Macaca fascicularis: one gene and its partners. The protein of the gene in region 1 interacts with the protein of each later gene in a biochemical or structural test. Links are inferred from orthologs where the notes say so. Each region holds a gene or a part of one and is shown on either strand. Other genes may lie near its edges.

Evidence for each region. The genes of interacting proteins can lie anywhere in the genome.
Region 2: of the proteins of PRKCA (region 1) and H1-5, one has a biochemical effect on the other in vitro, tested with the Homo sapiens proteins (2 studies listed by BioGRID). The link is inferred for Macaca fascicularis from reciprocal best matches to the Homo sapiens genes PRKCA and H1-5.
Region 3: of the proteins of PRKCA (region 1) and MGMT, one has a biochemical effect on the other in vitro, tested with the Homo sapiens proteins (2 studies listed by BioGRID). The link is inferred for Macaca fascicularis from reciprocal best matches to the Homo sapiens genes PRKCA and MGMT.

The regions. Positions count from the first base shown.
Region 1 is NC_088390.1:72,726,849-72,732,330, reverse strand, and holds the start of PRKCA (protein kinase C alpha type), read right to left. Parts: upstream 3,457-5,482; 5' UTR 3,215-3,456; coding exon 3,042-3,214; intron 1,370-3,041; exon of another isoform or gene 1,295-1,369; coding exon of another isoform or gene 1,272-1,294; intron 1-1,271. UniProt on the Homo sapiens protein: Calcium-activated, phospholipid- and diacylglycerol (DAG)-dependent serine/threonine-protein kinase that is involved in positive and negative regulation of cell proliferation, apoptosis, differentiation, migration and adhesion, tumorigenesis, cardiac hypertrophy, angiogenesis, platelet function and inflammation, by directly phosphorylating targets such as RAF1, BCL2, CSPG4, TNNT2/CTNT, or activating signaling cascade involving MAPK1/3 (ERK1/2) and RAP1GAP.
Region 2 is NC_088378.1:145,270,178-145,274,804, forward strand, and holds H1-5 (histone H1.5), read left to right. Parts: upstream 1-2,030; 5' UTR 2,031-2,089; coding exon 2,090-2,770; 3' UTR 2,771-3,435; downstream 3,436-4,627. Other genes in the region: histone H2A type 1-H-like, read right to left, coding at 3,657-4,049. UniProt on the Homo sapiens protein: Histone H1 protein binds to linker DNA between nucleosomes forming the macromolecular structure known as the chromatin fiber. Histones H1 are necessary for the condensation of nucleosome chains into higher-order structured fibers.
Region 3 is NC_088383.1:138,442,428-138,448,075, reverse strand, and holds the start of MGMT (methylated-DNA--protein-cysteine methyltransferase), read right to left. Parts: upstream 3,493-5,648; 5' UTR 3,489-3,492; coding exon of another isoform or gene 3,408-3,488; exon of another isoform or gene 3,269-3,407; intron 1-3,268. UniProt on the Homo sapiens protein: Involved in the cellular defense against the biological effects of O6-methylguanine (O6-MeG) and O4-methylthymine (O4-MeT) in DNA. Repairs the methylated nucleobase in DNA by stoichiometrically transferring the methyl group to a cysteine residue in the enzyme.

The DNA of each region.
Region 1 (5,482 bases):
GATAGCATATTTCAAACAAGTTATGTGACCAAGTACTCCACTACTAAAGGTTTGTACGTGAAACCCAATGACTTAATAGAAAAAACATACCTAAATATCTAGTCAGATTACTGTGTAAATTCAACTTTGAGGGGAAAAAAAATCTTGCCTATAAAGGATCACTGAACTATTCCAATATATCAAGCTTCTTTTCAATTTTTTATACTATGTTATCGATACTTAAATTTCAAGACAAGAACATGACTGTGTATTCAAACTTGTTGGCTACAATACAATATTCAAGTAACAAAAGAGTTTATGGTTAAAATTTTAAAAGGAAGTTACTTAATTTTGTTCCCGAAGACCAAATGAAAATTGTTTTTTTTTTCCTCCCTAAAGGCAACAAAGTGGGCTTACTTATTATGCATTTGTTTAAAGTATTATGTGTCTAGAAATTGCCAAACGGCATCACTTTTAACATTTAATTTTGGCTTAAGGAACCAGATGCTAGAAAATATCATTCCTATTGTTTGCATTTGAGATTACCATGATCTAATTTCTACTGAGAACCGACAGCAGTCAAAGCACATACGGAGGGTATTTTGTTCTTGTAAATGACTTTAGAGAATTTACTCTGTAAGCAGAGAACCCTGACATGGACATTCAATTGCAGGTATTGTTCTACTAGGATTAACTGCATTAACATTTCTTCAGAAGGCTGAGCGTCATAACCTCTTGCTTCACATAGAATGTTTAATGCACAAAGTATTTCACATACTTTTAAAATTAACTTAAGAGTCATCCCCCCTCACCAAAAACCATAATGAACTCTAAACATTTCACTTAAAAATATCAGTGATTTAATATTGAAATAAACTTGCAAATCAAGGACCCCGTAGAAACAATAATGAAAGCAAACTGAAAAAGACAATCCCTGTAGATGGTTTCCTGGGACTTCCAATTGGTTGGTTTACAATTAAATGCAGAGAGCTGCAGGGATACTCAGGGGGGCCTTTATCTTCCACTTCACAACACTGCTAGTGACCTGAGCGCCTCTTCAGCTCACCAAGGGCTGATCCTTCAAGGGCAACTGACAGTGGAAAGACACTAGCTAGCCTCGGTCGGCTGCAAGTCCCTTTCTAACTCTCCCACTTCCTGCAAAAGTCACCAGCAGTCTGTTCCCTTTTAATGGACTCTCACAGTTGACCACCTCCTCTTAACCAAATGCAATATTCTCTTTGCCCTGATGCTCCGAAATTGTATTTTAAATAGCCTTATCTACGATTACCTACTCCTTTGAGCACAATCGCTTCATATGCTGACTAGACAGTGGAAATCACTCATAGAGGTGGCTGTGCTTTTCGTAAAAGTGTACTTGGGAGCAGATGTCTAAAAAGGAAAGGAAAAATTAAACACCTTATTAGCACCACGATCATGGGACCTGACCTTTGGGATGTTTTTCCCCAGGTGTGATGGATTCAGACAGATCCATCCATATTATGTTCACTCTAATGGCCCAAGATACCTGTGCCACACAGCTGGCTGGTGGCAGGATTCACTCCATGACTGCCACCCTGGGTAGCTCCCCCTGGCCTAGAAGGGGAGGGAGCTAAGAAGCCCTAGCCATAGCTCTGTCTTGTCAGGAAATTGCTACACGACAAAGAAGAGGTAGAAGAGTCAGGGCATCCGGCAATCTAAGAGAAAAACCAAACTACTGCTGCTCTAACTAGAGGACCTAGAGCTCCTTTAGTTCCAGCTTTCTAAACTTCTGTGTGGTGACGGGGAGCTGGGAAGAAGGGTCACACACTTTTGAGAATCAGATGAAAGCTGTAATTCTCTCACCAGCAAAAAGATTCACAAACACAATTTCACCCAGTTTTGCAGGGTTCAGAGACCCCTGAAGCCCTTCTATGTATCGATTCTCCATAAGCCCCCAAGGATCCTCCGAGTTAAGAATGCCTGAATTCATTGGCGATTACCTGAACTCTGACACCTCTGGCCCTTATGTTATTTTTCTTAAATAAGGCCTCTGTCCTCATCAACAGGGTTACAGGTCTAATCTCGTGTTGACAGGGTCTATTTTAATTTTTTTTGAGACGGAGTCTCGCTCTGTCTCGACCAGGCTGGAGTGCAGTGGCCCGATCTCGGCTCACTGCAGCCTCCGCCTCCCGGGTTCAAGCGAGTCTCCTGTCTCAGCCTCCCGAGTAGCTGGAATTACAGGCGTCTGCCACCACGCCCGCAAATTTTGTACTTTTAGTAGTACGGGATTTCACCATGTTGGCCAGGCTGGTCTCGAACACCTGACTTCAGGTGATCCGCCTGCCTCGGCCTCCCAAAGTGCTGGGATCACAGGCGTGAGCCACCGCGCCTGGCCGACAGGGTCTATTTTAAATGAGTCCCTCTGCCCTTGTGCCATTTGCCTGCTCGAACTCTCCCTCCCCCACTGCAAGCTTTCAACAGTTTGTTCTCTCTCTCTCTGCTCACTCAGAAAAGTCAAAGTCTGTCCGTGCCCAGTAGATGCAGCCTACAGTAGGCAGGGGCCCAAGATTCCAGCGCGGTCCAGCCCGATGGGAAGCACAAACACACCCCCCCGAACGCGCCCAGCCTGGCTCGCCAGCAACTTGGACCGCGCAGCGGAATCGCCGCCGCTCCCCCGTTACTCCGGGACGCGTTTCTCCGGGAACCTTCGCTCCTTCGGGCCTCTCCTCCTCCCCTGTCCACTGGGCTCCCACCCCGGCAAGCGGCCGCTCCGCTGGGTGCGTGCGGGTGGGCGCCCCCGGGGAGGTGAGGGGCCCGGCCCGGGGAAAGATCCCCGCCGCCACCGCACGGGGCCAGCCTCCCTCCGGCGCCAGGGGGTGTGTGTGGCGGGGCGGCGACGTCCCGGGAGTCCTGCCCGCCGGTGTCAGGGCCGGGAGCGCGTGTCACTCCGGGCGAGAGTTAGGACTCCCGCCGGTTCCAAGTTCTCGGAGTGAGCCAGCCCCGGGGCGGACTTGCCGGCGCGCCGGGGACCGGGACCCAGGGGCGGGGAGGAGCGGGGCAGGGGTGCCCGGCCCGGCACCTACCAGATGAAGTCGGTGCAGTGGCTGCAGAAGGTGGGCTGCTTGAAGAAGCGCGCGATGAATTTGTGGTCCTTCACCTCGTGCACGTTCTTCTGCCTCAGCGCCCCTTTGCGGGCGAAGCGGTTGGCCACGTCCTGAGACGCCGTGGAGTCGTTGGCCGGGAAAACGTCAGCCATGGTCCCCCCCAACCACCTCTTGCCTCCGCCGGGGAGCGGCGGCCGCGGAGGGCCGGGTGGGCGGGGGCGGCGGCGGAGAGGTGCGGGCTCGGGGCGACCCCGGGCGGGGGGCGCGGGCCGGTGGCCGAGGTCGCGGCGAGGGGGCGCGGCGGGGACCGGGGAGAGTCAGGCCGGTGCGGCGCAGAGCGGGAGCCGGAGCCGGAGCCTGAGCCGCTGGCTCGCCCGCTGGCCCCAGGCTCACTGACAGCCCGGCGCCCGGCGCTCGCGCTTCCTACTCGCGGCGGCAGAGGCGGCCCGGAGCGGCGCCGCCCACCGCGCATGCCCCGAGCGCGAGGCCGCGCGGACGAGAACGGCGGGGGCGCGCGGGCCGGGAGCGCGCGGGGGGGGCGGCGGCGGCGCCGAGCGGGCCGCGCCGAGTGCGGAGGAGGCAGAGGGCGCCTGGCGGTGCTGGGAAGACTGAACAGGGAGCGGCGGCGGCGGGCGGCCCGGGGAGGGCCAGCCCGAGTGGGGATGCGGAGGAGGAGGAGGGCGGGAGTGGCGGGTGCGCGCTCCTCCGCCGCCTTTTTCTTTCCTCCCTTCCTGCTCCCGGCTCTCCTCCCTCTCGCCCTCCTCCGCCTCAGTTCTCCTCCTCTTCTTCCGCTCCTGCCGTCCGGCCTCCTCCTCTCCCCGTCTTCCTCCTCCCACTCCCGCTCTCTCTCTGTCTTATCGACGGGCTCGGAGTCCTGCGCCGTCCGTGCCGGGCCGAGAGGAGCCCGCGTTCCGGAGTGGGCTCCACGCGCAGCCCCTGCCCCGGAGCCTCCCGCCCGGTGCTCACCCGCTAACCCCTGAGCACACGCAACAGGGAGTCCCTTCCCCATCTTCAGGACCCCCGATGTCTCCGGGGCACGACGCCCGTGTGTTAGCAGCCTGTACCAGCTTGAGGTTTCACCTGGCCAAAATGTCGCTTTCATCACGTGTGCCCTAAAGGACACAGGCTCTAGACCTTCCTACAGGAGGAAGACAGCGATTTTTAACTAATTAAGCATTGACCCTTTCCCCTACCTTCTCTTCTTGACCTATACCGTATTTCACCTGCGTGTCGTAGAGGCTTTTAATTTGTACGTCGGGCATTTAACACCACGTGGGATGGTTAAAGGACTTGTCTTAGGTATTTATCCCGTTATTCACTGGCCATCAGAGGGACGATGTTGATTATCAGGCTTTCTTGATTTTGCAAGTCTAGGACCTTAATTTAGAAATCATTTTGCATCCCAAGCTAATTACTGCAATACTGTCAGGTGCAGAGTGCAGCCGGTACATTTGTAAATTACCAAGTAAAACTGCCTGTGAAAGAGTAGCGGACATGGCTATGCAAAGGACGCAGGTGGGGATGCACCAGCTAATCACTCGCTGAATATTTATCAGGTCTGCCTGGAGGCCGCTAAAATACTTAAGGGAAATAATCATTTCTCAGCATTTCATTGGTGTTTTATTTTATTTGCCAGATGCACGAAGTTCCCAAAACGACTTTACGAGCTAAAGACATCAAGAAAGAGAACACGTTTGATCCTTCAATAAATTTTTGTTAAAAGAAAAAAAAATTTTTCTAAAATACTTTCTTAGAGCGTATAACATAGGCCAAGTAGAGCTAACATTGTTTTCTTTGAGTTTGCGTAATTGTGATGCTTGATGATAGGAATGTCCTTTATATTTTTAACAAATGGAAGCTCTCCTGACTGAACATCAGTGGCGCATGCACTTGACAGATCCATTTACAATCTCTTGAGCCAGTCTTGGTGCTTCAAGAGCTGCACCTGCCTGGCGTTCTATCTGGTGAGAAATTTCACCACTTATGGTCGCCTCTCGAGTCCAAGGAGGCAAAAAGGGAAGAAGCAAAGAGGAATGAAGAGCAGGGCATGTCGGGGAAATAGTCCCAATTCTCCATGAAACACTAGAAGCATCTCAAGCCATGGTTGTTTCTGCTTTTAAGCAAAGCAGAAATCCAATGGAACATAGTGGAATGAAATAATTTCTTTTCTCAGAGTCATCTTTTATCTAAGACAGAGGTCCTGGCACATTTTACGAAGGTAAGCTTCTTTCTATGTCCCTGAGGCTTTGATAGGAGGATGGAGAGAGCTGGAGGATGAAGTTGCTGATAGCGGAATCCTGAGCAAAGTCATAGGGAAGACAAGAACAAAATGAGCCCTGGCAGCAGCCTGGGAATCTCCTGTGTACTCCATGGAGTGACTGTCTTAGCTGTCAGTAGATCAGATGGAACAATGTGTCTCT
Region 2 (4,627 bases), on another chromosome or scaffold:
AATGAGTGTCAGCTCTTATTGTTATACCCCTGCTCCCACTACGCATGGAGTTTTGGGGTTTTTTTCTCCTGGACCTTCTAAGTTTTGTGTTTGGAACAGCAGAAAGTGCTTGGTTAGAACATTTTCTTGTGAAGATCTCCTTTTCTTTAGTTCTCAATTTGCATTGTTTGGTAAGAGGCCTGTACAAAATCTGTGTCTCTGTGGATAAATTTATAACACAGCAAAAGGGCTAGATAATAAATAGTTTGGAGTTTAAAGGCCATATATAGTCTCTGTCACACATTCTTTTTAGTTTTTAGTTTGTTTGCTTGTTCGAGACAGCATCTTGCTCCATTGCCCAGGCTGGAGTGCAGTGGTGCTATCACTGCTCACTGCAGCCTTGACACCCTGAATTCAAGTGATCCTCCCACCTCAGTCTCCCAAGTAGCTGAGACTACAGGCATGCACCACCACACCCAGCAATATTTTTTGTATTTTTAGTAGAGATAAGGTTTCACTACGTTGCCCAGGCTGGTCTTGAACTCCTGAAATCAAGCAACCCTCCTATCCCGGTCTTCCCCAGTGCTGAGATTACAGACATGAACCACCGTGCCCAGCCTTTGTTTTTGTTTTTGTTTTAAACAATACTGTTAAAATGTAAAGACACTTCTTAGCTTGAGGGCCATACAGAAACAAGCCATTGTCCAGATTTGGCCATAGTCTGCCAACCTCTCCAGGAGTTCTTAGAGAGAAGATGAAATGTGTTGGCTACTTTAAATTTTCTTGCACAGCATTTCAAGGGTGAGAAATAAGTGACTGTTGATTTCATTAGGAATCCAAATCATTATTTGATCATTTTTATCATCCAGGCATCCTGTCCAATCCCCTCCACATCCTATAAATCGTAAACTTCACCATTTATTTCAACCTCAATGTATTTGCCTGTGTTTTCCTGAGTTCCTCTGAACTTCTATAACCTGAAGTCGCTCAATATCCCATCCAATCTTTTCAGTCAATAGCCAGATATTCTTCTAAAATACTAGCATTTAAACACACAAAAATACCCATATTGATGTATCCTGGCTGCTTATAGAAGAGAGTACTCCTGATGGTGCAGCTTGTTAAATGTGGGTGGAGACTCAGGGGGAGCAGTGAGAACATTTTGAAAACCTAACAGAATCCTGGGTCCCCTAAACAGTTTGTGTATTTGAGGATGACAGGGCGCTCTTGAATAATTTTCCGCAGGTTTGAATTTTCTCTAAACTGAATTATCTGTTATTTTTCTTCCACTTTTTAATGGATTTGCCCAGGAACTAAAAAGGGAAAACACTTCAATTAGAAAACATAACACATTTAAGTTTGAATTTGAATCTGGGTAGTTGGATTCTTAAGTCAAAGCGACTTGAATTACTGGTGCTGCAATGCAGAAGAAGTCACTCTGACCGTGGAACTTTTCCAAGCTGAAAAATCCCATTCTGTAAAGACATCAGCACATGGAAACTCCTAGGACACAGAACCAGTTTGTAAAGTCAAGTCTGTGTGGTTAAGTTGGGGCTGTAGGCAACCAGCTGTCCCGTGCCTGTGTTACTTGCTACAGTTAGAAACAAAGTTCATGCCCAAACCAAGGAACCCAGTGTCTTTTCTCTTGCAAAAATCAAAGCGTGAACTCATGGGCGAATTTTAAAAAATAACTTTCACCGGATACTTAATAGAAATTTATCGCGACACGCTACTAACTAACATGATGCCCTCAGCCCATTGGATTCTTGTGAAAAGCAGAAGGGATTTTTAAAAATATCTTTCATCAATTGCACGAGATTCGTGAAAACACAAACAAGTATGTGAACCTGGAGGCTGTTTTCCTCCTTTGGAGCTTCAAAGTGCCAAATTCTGTACCGTTGTTTTAAGCATTTAATCAAATTTTGAGGACTAACAAACACAATTTGGGAGTCCAACAGCGAGCGGCGGCGGCCAGAGGGCGGTGGATTGGACGCTCCACCAATCACAGGGCAGCGCCGGCTTATATAAGCCCGGGGCCCGAGCATAGCAGCAATGCAAAACTTGCTCTTTGGATTTTGAGCTTATTCTCTTCTAGCAGTTTCTTGCCACCATGTCGGAAACCGCTCCTGCCGAAACAGCCACCCCAGCGCCTGTGGAGAAATCCCCCGCTAAGAAGAAGGCAACTAAGAAGGCGGCCGGCGCTGGCGCGGCTAAGCGCAAAGCGACTGGGCCCCCAGTCTCAGAGCTGATCACCAAGGCTGTGGCAGCTTCTAAGGAGCGCAATGGCCTTTCTTTGGCAGCTCTTAAGAAGGCCTTAGCGGCCGGTGGCTACGACGTGGAGAAGAATAACAGCCGCATCAAGCTGGGCCTCAAGAGCTTGGTGAGCAAGGGCACCCTGGTGCAGACCAAGGGCACTGGTGCTTCTGGCTCCTTTAAACTCAACAAAAAGGCGGCCTCCGGGGAAGCTAAGCCCAAAGCCAAGAAGGCAGGCGCCGCTAAAGCTAAGAAACCCGCGGGGGCCACGCCTAAGAAGCCCAAGAAGGCTGCAGGGGCGAAAAAGGCAGTGAAGAAGACTCCGAAGAAGGCGAAGAAACCCGCGGCGGCTGGCGTCAAAAAAGTGGCGAAGAGCCCTAAGAAGGCCAAGGCCGCGGCCAAACCGAAAAAGGCAACCAAGAGTCCTGCCAAGCCCAAGGCAGTTAAGCCGAAAGCGGCAAAGCCCAAAGCCGCTAAGCCCAAAGCAGCAAAACCTAAAGCTGCAAAGGCCAAGAAGGCGGCTGCCAAAAAGAAGTAGGAAGCTGGCGTGTGAAAACCGCAACAAAGCCCCAAAGGCTCTTTTCAGAGCCACCCAGAGATCTCTAAAAAATTGCTGTGCACAATGTGTTAGATCAGGCAGGCAGTTTTCGAAGTTGGTGTCAAACTTTGTCTGACGCCTAGCTACAAAGAAGCTTCTTAAATTTTAAAAGCCCCGCTCTATAATCTGATTGGTCAGTTTTGTTCCATCATCAGTACGTGGTTTCTCCGCGTTTAAGCCACTTAGGCGCCAGCTACTTCGGCGTTACTGTGTTCGGCATTGATATAGCCAATTTGATATGACTATCATTCTGTACTGGATTCCTTTTTTTCTTTACCCGAGTCAGAGTCTCGCTCTGTCACTCAGGCTGGCGTGCAGTGGCGCGGGCTCGGATCACTGCAGCCTCAGCCTCCCCCACTCAAACGATTGTCTCACTTCAGCCTCTGAAGTGCTAGGACTAAAGGTATGCACCATGCCGCCCGGCTAATTTTTGTATCGGCTATGATGCCTAGGCAGATCTCGAATTCATGAGCTTCAGCGATCTTCCCGCCTCAGCTTCCAAAAGTGCTGGGATTACAGGCGTGAGCCACTGCGCCTGGCCCTGGATTTTTTTCTTATTGGCTCTAGTACATATAACACGCGATGAATAAACACAGCGAACACTCTTGTAAGCCCTGTATTAAATGACTTGTTCACATTCTGACTTAAACAAGTCACCTGAATCCTGTAAGGTTTTCCCTAAAGTCATTACTAAGCTTTAGATGAAAAATGCTTTTCTTTTCACAATAAACGTTCCGAATGTTTAACCAGTGGCCCAGCTCTCCCGCAGAAATAGTAAGTGGCTCTGAAAAGAGCCGTTGTATTGTAAAGTGACGCTATGGAGACATTATTTGCTCTTGGCCTTGTGATGACTCTCGGTCTTCTTGGGCAGTAGCACGGCCTGAATGTTGGGCAGGACACCACCCTGAGCGATGGTCACTTTGCCCAGCAGCTTGTTGAGCTCCTCGTCGTTACGGATGGCCAGCTGCAGGTGACGCGGGATAATACGGGTCTTCTTGTTGTCGCGGGCGGCGTTGCCCGCCAGCTCCAGGATCTCGGCGGTCAGGTACTCCAGCACCGCCGCAAGATACACCGGGGCGCCGGCCCCGACACGCTCAGCATAGTTGCCCTTGCGGAGCAGCCGGTGCACTCTGCCCACGGGAAACTGGAGACCAGCCCGAGAAGAGCGGGTCTTCGCCTTGGCGCGAGCTTTTCCTCCCTGCTTGCCGCGTCCAGACATGACGAAGAAACGATCGGTAGACAAACTGAGAAGAAATTAGAGAACTTTGCCAGAACTCCACTACTTATAGTCAATACTGGGCGCGAAAATAAAGCTGTGCCATTGGCTCAAATTGCAGTTTTATTTAAACCAATGGAATCGCTGTTATGAAACACGTTTCTTTGGATTGGACAAAAATGCATATGACGTCATCTAGAATCGCCACCAGTCCTACACACTAATGTATTAATCACCTCATTTGCATAAGAATTCGTGAATAGGACGTTACAACGCACAGGTTTTTCTTCTTTTTTTTAAAGACATGGTGTCCCTCTGCCGCCCAGGCTGGAGTGCAGTGGTGCCATCTCGGCTCACTGCAACTTCCGCTCCTGGGTTCAAGTGATTCTCCTGCCTCGGCCTCCTGAGTAACTGAGATTACAAGCGCCAGCCACCACAGCCCGGCTAATTTTTGTAATTTTTAGTAGAGACGGGGTTTCACCATATTGGTCATGCTGCTCTCGAACCCCTGATCTTAGGCGATCCGCCTGCCTTGGCCTCCCAAAGTGCTGGGATTACAGGCGTGAGCCACCGCGCCCGGC
Region 3 (5,648 bases), on another chromosome or scaffold:
TTTAGCTGGAGGAGCTTCGGGCGTGCAGGCTGCCGCCCACTGGCTTCGCTGCCGGGACCCAGCACCTTGGCAGGTCTCAGTGTTTGATCCCTTTACAGGTGAACCACACCAGCCAAAGCCACTCTAATACTTCAAAGATCAACAAAATCAAAAAAATGATTTCTTCCTTTTCGTAAATCACTTTAATAGCTCTATGAAGGAGGAACTCATTCATTACATTCCATACTATATTCATTAATTAGTTTTCCCCAAACCACGCAGCCCTCCTATATAAGCTGTACTGTCAATTTTTTTAAGTCAAAAAAAAAAAACAGACTATTTCCACCAACCAGCAGACATGCAGCAGTTAATGAAAAGCCACAGAACATACATCTTGCAACATTTGGTCCACAACACAAGGTCTCCAACTTCTACTTAGCTCTGCCCAAGACAGGCCTGCAGAGCTAACAGCATAGGTTCACAAACTCCTCATGCCAACCAACGGCCCTCCTGGACAGCTCAAACCTCCTCCCTCCCAGATAAACCCTTTCACTTCAAACCAAGAGTGGGGCGTAGGGCTGGCTTGTACATCATGAGTGTCTATATAAAGACCATACCACCCCACGGTCAGGTTATGGTTTATGTGTCTCTGACTTTAAATCCTTCAGGTCTGGTTTAAATAATATCCTGCAGGGCCAGACACGGTGGCTCATGCCTGTAATCCCAGCACTTTGGGAGGTCTAGGAGGGAAGATCACTTGAGTCCAGGAGTTCGAGACCACCCTAGGCAATATAGGGAGACCCTGCCTTTAAAAAAAAATATTAGCCAGGCATGGTGGCACACACCTGTAGTCCCCGCTACTCAGGAGGTCAAAGCAGGAGGTTCACTTGAGCCCAGGAGTTTGAGGCTGCAGTGAGCTATGCACTCCAGCCTGGGCGACAGAGCAAGCCCTTGTCTCTAAAAGTAATAAAATAATATTCTGTGGTAAGACCCGAGCCCAGAAAGTAGCTGGATCAAAAGCTACCTGTCCCAGGAAACAGAGAGTCAGGAAGGACTGTAGCAGCAGCCCAAGAGCCAAATGAGTACAGGGCCCTTCAGGGTCTGGGAGGTTCAATGTGTCCCCTGGAGGAACTAGAGTCCCAAAGGGAAGTCAAAAACCTCACGGCAAGTGGATCTGAACAAGGAACTTTATGCTGGGGAAGGGGGTCAGAATGAAGCGCAAAAACAAAGAATAATGCTAAAGGAAAAGATAATGCAGAAAATTCAGTTTTGCCTTCATTTTCTTTCTATCAAAAAGAATATACTATAAATTGAAAAGGGTATTAACACCAAAAAAAAAAAAAAAAACCAACCGGAAGGTTTGAGTCACTGGCTCCTAAACGTATGTCCTCTGCAAAACAGGACAATTTAGTAAGTTTATTTTATTATAAAATACCAGAAGAGTCAGGGCTTTGGTGTCCTAAGAAAGGGTAGGAAGAAGACTGGAGAGGAACAAACTCTAAGGGGGCAATGGGGAAGGCAAGTTCTTTTTCAGGCCTTCCTGCCCCCTTCTTCCCTGCAAAAGAAGAGAGGAGGCCCTGATTGAGACACCTGGGAAGGAAACCCAAACAATGAAAGGTAAGCCCCAGGTGTTATCAACGTAAGACCTCAACAAGTTTCAAGAATCTGAGCAGCTGAACAAAGTGCTACCCAATGTTACCTAGGGCTCTATTTCTTTCAACCTTACTAACAGCAAAGCCTTTTTAAAGTAGTGCCTAATACTATTAGTTAAATCGTTATTGTGATACAGATTTTTTTTTCCTTTGGGACAGAGTTTCACTCTCGTTGCCCAGGCTGGAGTGCAATGGCGCAATCTCAGCTCACTGCAACCTCCACCTCCCAGGTTCAAGAAATTCTCCTGCCTCAGCCTCCCAAGTAGCTGGGATTACAGGCACGCACCACCACACCTGGATAATTTTTGTATTTTTAGTAGAAACGGGGTTTCACCATGTTGGTCAGGCTGGTCTCCAACTTCCGACCTCGGGTGATCCACCCACCACAGCCTCCCAAAGTGCTGGGATTACAGGCGTGAGCCACCGTGCCTGGCCCAGATATTTTTTATTATTATTAAAATATATACATTGAAAAGTACCTGAGTATAGCTCTGTACTGGAGGCCTACTTCATCCAGGCCCCTGACTGTGGCAGATACCACCCCACTATTCAAATTCTAACAGGAGAGGGAGGGCCCAGGAAGACAGATACGACAGGCGGCAGAGTAAGGCCAGCTCTCCTCTGCTACTTGCAGGCACACTCTGGGTACCAGCAAGTATCCTGGCCCTCTGAGTTAATGTGTTGTTAACAATCAGCCAGGCTCTTGACGCGGTTTCCTTCAAAGTTTTCACAGCCCCACCCACCAAGTGTGCTAAGCTTTCGTTTTTTTAAAATCTGTTCATCTCTCAGAGTGTTTTAGCCACTGAGTGGGCCCTGAAAATAACAAAACCATCTCCTAGTCACCTGCCCAGGGATGGGGCAGATGACGGGAGAGTCTGCCTTCACAGATACTCTATAGGTTTATATTTGGATGTCTATGTAAATAACCAGTCTAATTCTCAGCTCTCTGTGCTTAACTCTCTCTGCTTAATATTCTACTGAGAACAGCTGTGGTGACCCCTCTCCGGACCAAGCCGCTTCCCTCAGTCTGATGATGGTCCCAGCAGGCAAAGGTTGCACACACATGTACAAAGTCTGCTTTCCAGGACAGAAAGCCAGCTACCCAGCTGAGGCAACTGAGAGCAAACACCACCCTGAGATTTCAGGAGATGATGAACCCAGGAGTGCGAAATACATAGTTCAGAACTCCTCTGCGGTGTTGTCACCAATGTGGGAATTACGGCGCCCAGTGTGTGTGGCTCTCCAGCGAGCCTTGCTTACTCCCAGGTATTGATGAATACAATTAGGGTGTGAGGTACACAAACACCAGCCATGGTTAGGAGGAGGCCCCTAGAACTTGGCCTCCAGCAGGAAGGAAATATGGGACTCTGCCCAAGTATGCTAAAGGCTTGCTGCAAGCCAAGGCCCGCGCAGGGGCTTCTGGAAGCTTCCCGGAGCAGCTGGCGGAGGGAAAGCTGGCAGCATGGAGGGGCAGGAAGAACCCGGGGCCCGGGCCTGGAGCCGGCACCCGGAGGTAAGGCAGGGGCTGCCACGAACCCCGCCACACGCCAGGCCACAGTCACTGCAGCGCAGCTTGGTCCAGAAACCCTAGGCCCGGGGGAAGGCTGGGCAACACTTTGGAGGCACTTGGGGCGCACCTGGAGTTCGCCCGGGGTAGGTGGCTGTCAGGGCGGCCCCAGACCCGAGTGAGGGCGCCTGCAGGACCACTCGAGACTGCCGCCGTCCCGAGGCAGAGCCCCGCAACTCTGCCGGGAGCGAGGCGACCCAGACACTCACCAAGTCGCAAACGGTGCGGACCGCGAGGACCTGCGGGCGCCGGCACGCAAAGCGTTCTAGTGGCGCGGGCCGTCCCAGCATATCCGGGGCGCGGGGGCGGGGCCGAGGGGGCGCGGGGCTGGCGGCATGGGGCGGGATCTAGAGCGGGGCGGAGCCGAGGACCTGAGAAAAGCAAGAGAGCGCGCGGGGGCGGGGCCGGGGCGCGCGGGGGCGGGGGCCGGGGCGGGGCGGGGTGTTCCCGCCCGACCGGGTCGGCGCATGCCCAGTGCGGCGGCGCCGGACCTGAGCCACTCTGCGCAGCCTCGCTGGATGCCGACGCGCGGGCCCGGGTCCTGCAGCAGCGCTAGCTACTCTGTGCGCCTGACACCCCGGCCCTTTGGCCGGTACAAACCAGGCAGCGCCTTCCCAGCTTCCGCCTCAGGTTCTGTGCCTTAGTTTGCCAAATAGCCCATACCTTTTCCTGTCACAGGGATAGTCCGCGGGCGTGCAAGCGACCTGCCACGTGCCCGAGTGGTCCTGAAGGCGCGCGGGGGTCGTAGGACGGCGCCCGCTTAGTGAGAATCCCAGTCCTGCTCGGGGCGGCTACACTGAGCCCGGAGCGCGAGTCTCTCCCCTCCTGAGGCCGCTTCCCGGGTCAGGGACCCTCAGACCAGCAGAGACCCTGTCAGGGGGCCGTGGGGCAGCCTCCAGGGCCTGTGGTGGGCGGTCCCGTCCAGGCGCTGCAGTCACCGATGGCCTAGACACGGCCAGGGCCTGACTCAGTCGCTCTGCAGAAAGCGCACAGGGTGCCAGGCCCTGCTTGGGGTTGTGTGGACATTATTAGGAGCTGAATTGTGTCCACCAGAAAAGCTATGTTGGAGTCCTAACTCCCAGTACCTCACAGTGTGACCATACTTGGATATGGGGACTTTACAGAGGTAACAAGTTAAAATGAAGCCATCAATTAGTGGGCCCCTCATCCAGTAGGACTCGTGTCCTTATAGGCAGAAGGCCGCGTGGGGAGGAGGAGTGGAGGGCTGCACCTGCAAGCCGCCAGAAGCCGAAGAGGATAGACTCTTCCCTGGAGCCTTCGGAGGGAGCAGGGTCCTAACACACCTTGGTTTCAAACTTCTGGCCCCCGGAAGTGTGAGACAATAGGTTTCTGTTGTTTAAAGCCACTCAGTGTGTGGCACTTTATTATGGCAGCCCCAGGCAATGGGTACGGAAACCATTGTCTCTAACATGGTTGGCATAACCACCCCAGGGAGTAGTATCATCCCTGGAGGCTTCGGAGAGGTCACACACCCCTTGGCAGTTTCAAGGATCCCATCCGATGCCCACATGCTCTAAGGCACCATGCTATGGGCCTTCTAGGTTCTGTTATCTTAATGGAAAGGGGTCTTCGCCTTCCCAGTGTAGCTTCCCAGCTGGGATTTGGCCAATGCTCATACCTTCGTATTTGTGACTTGCAGGATCCAACATGTTAGCATGAGTGATAAGGGTTGTTCAGAGGAGAACTTCAGCAGGATTTGCTTTGGGATGAGCCCCGGTGACAATACAGGCTGCATCATTGATCCTCTGAGGTTCCTCACCCTGGACCGTGCCTTGGATGAGACATGTTTTAAATGGCTGGTTGTGGAAAATAAACTAGGCCCTGAGTACACAGTATAATGGTCAAATCAGGGCACTTTTTCCCCACTGAGCCTGGACACAGCCTCGGAATCCTTCTTAATACTGTGTTCCAAGCAGCTATTCACATTTCAACTAATGTGGAAGGAGAGATGAAACATGTTTGGCCTTGGCTCTGGTTTTTTCTATCAGCCTTCTGTAAGACTTTGGGAAACTCATCTGACTTCTCTAATCCTCAGTTTCATACTCTGTAAAGGAGTCTTATGATCATGTACTGTGCATGTATACAAACTATCCTTCCATATTAGGCCATGTGTGCATAGGGAAAATAAACCACCAGCACCACACCATACTACTGAGAAATGATGCTATACACCCGGCCGCTTACAGCCTGTTACTACCAGGACCCAGTTAGAACCAGGATCCCAATAGAACCAAAGGAAAAACAATGCCGAAATGGAATCAGAGTGCCGACCAGTATTCTAACAAGTGTGCTGTTAAGTAGTTTTGCAGTTAACACAGGACTCATACGTTTATCTGAATAATATTTTCAGACGAATCCCTAAACTCTTAAGAAAAAGAGACTGGCCCGTCTTAGCATCTCTCATTCCCCACCCTAGGAAAGAAAGGCCA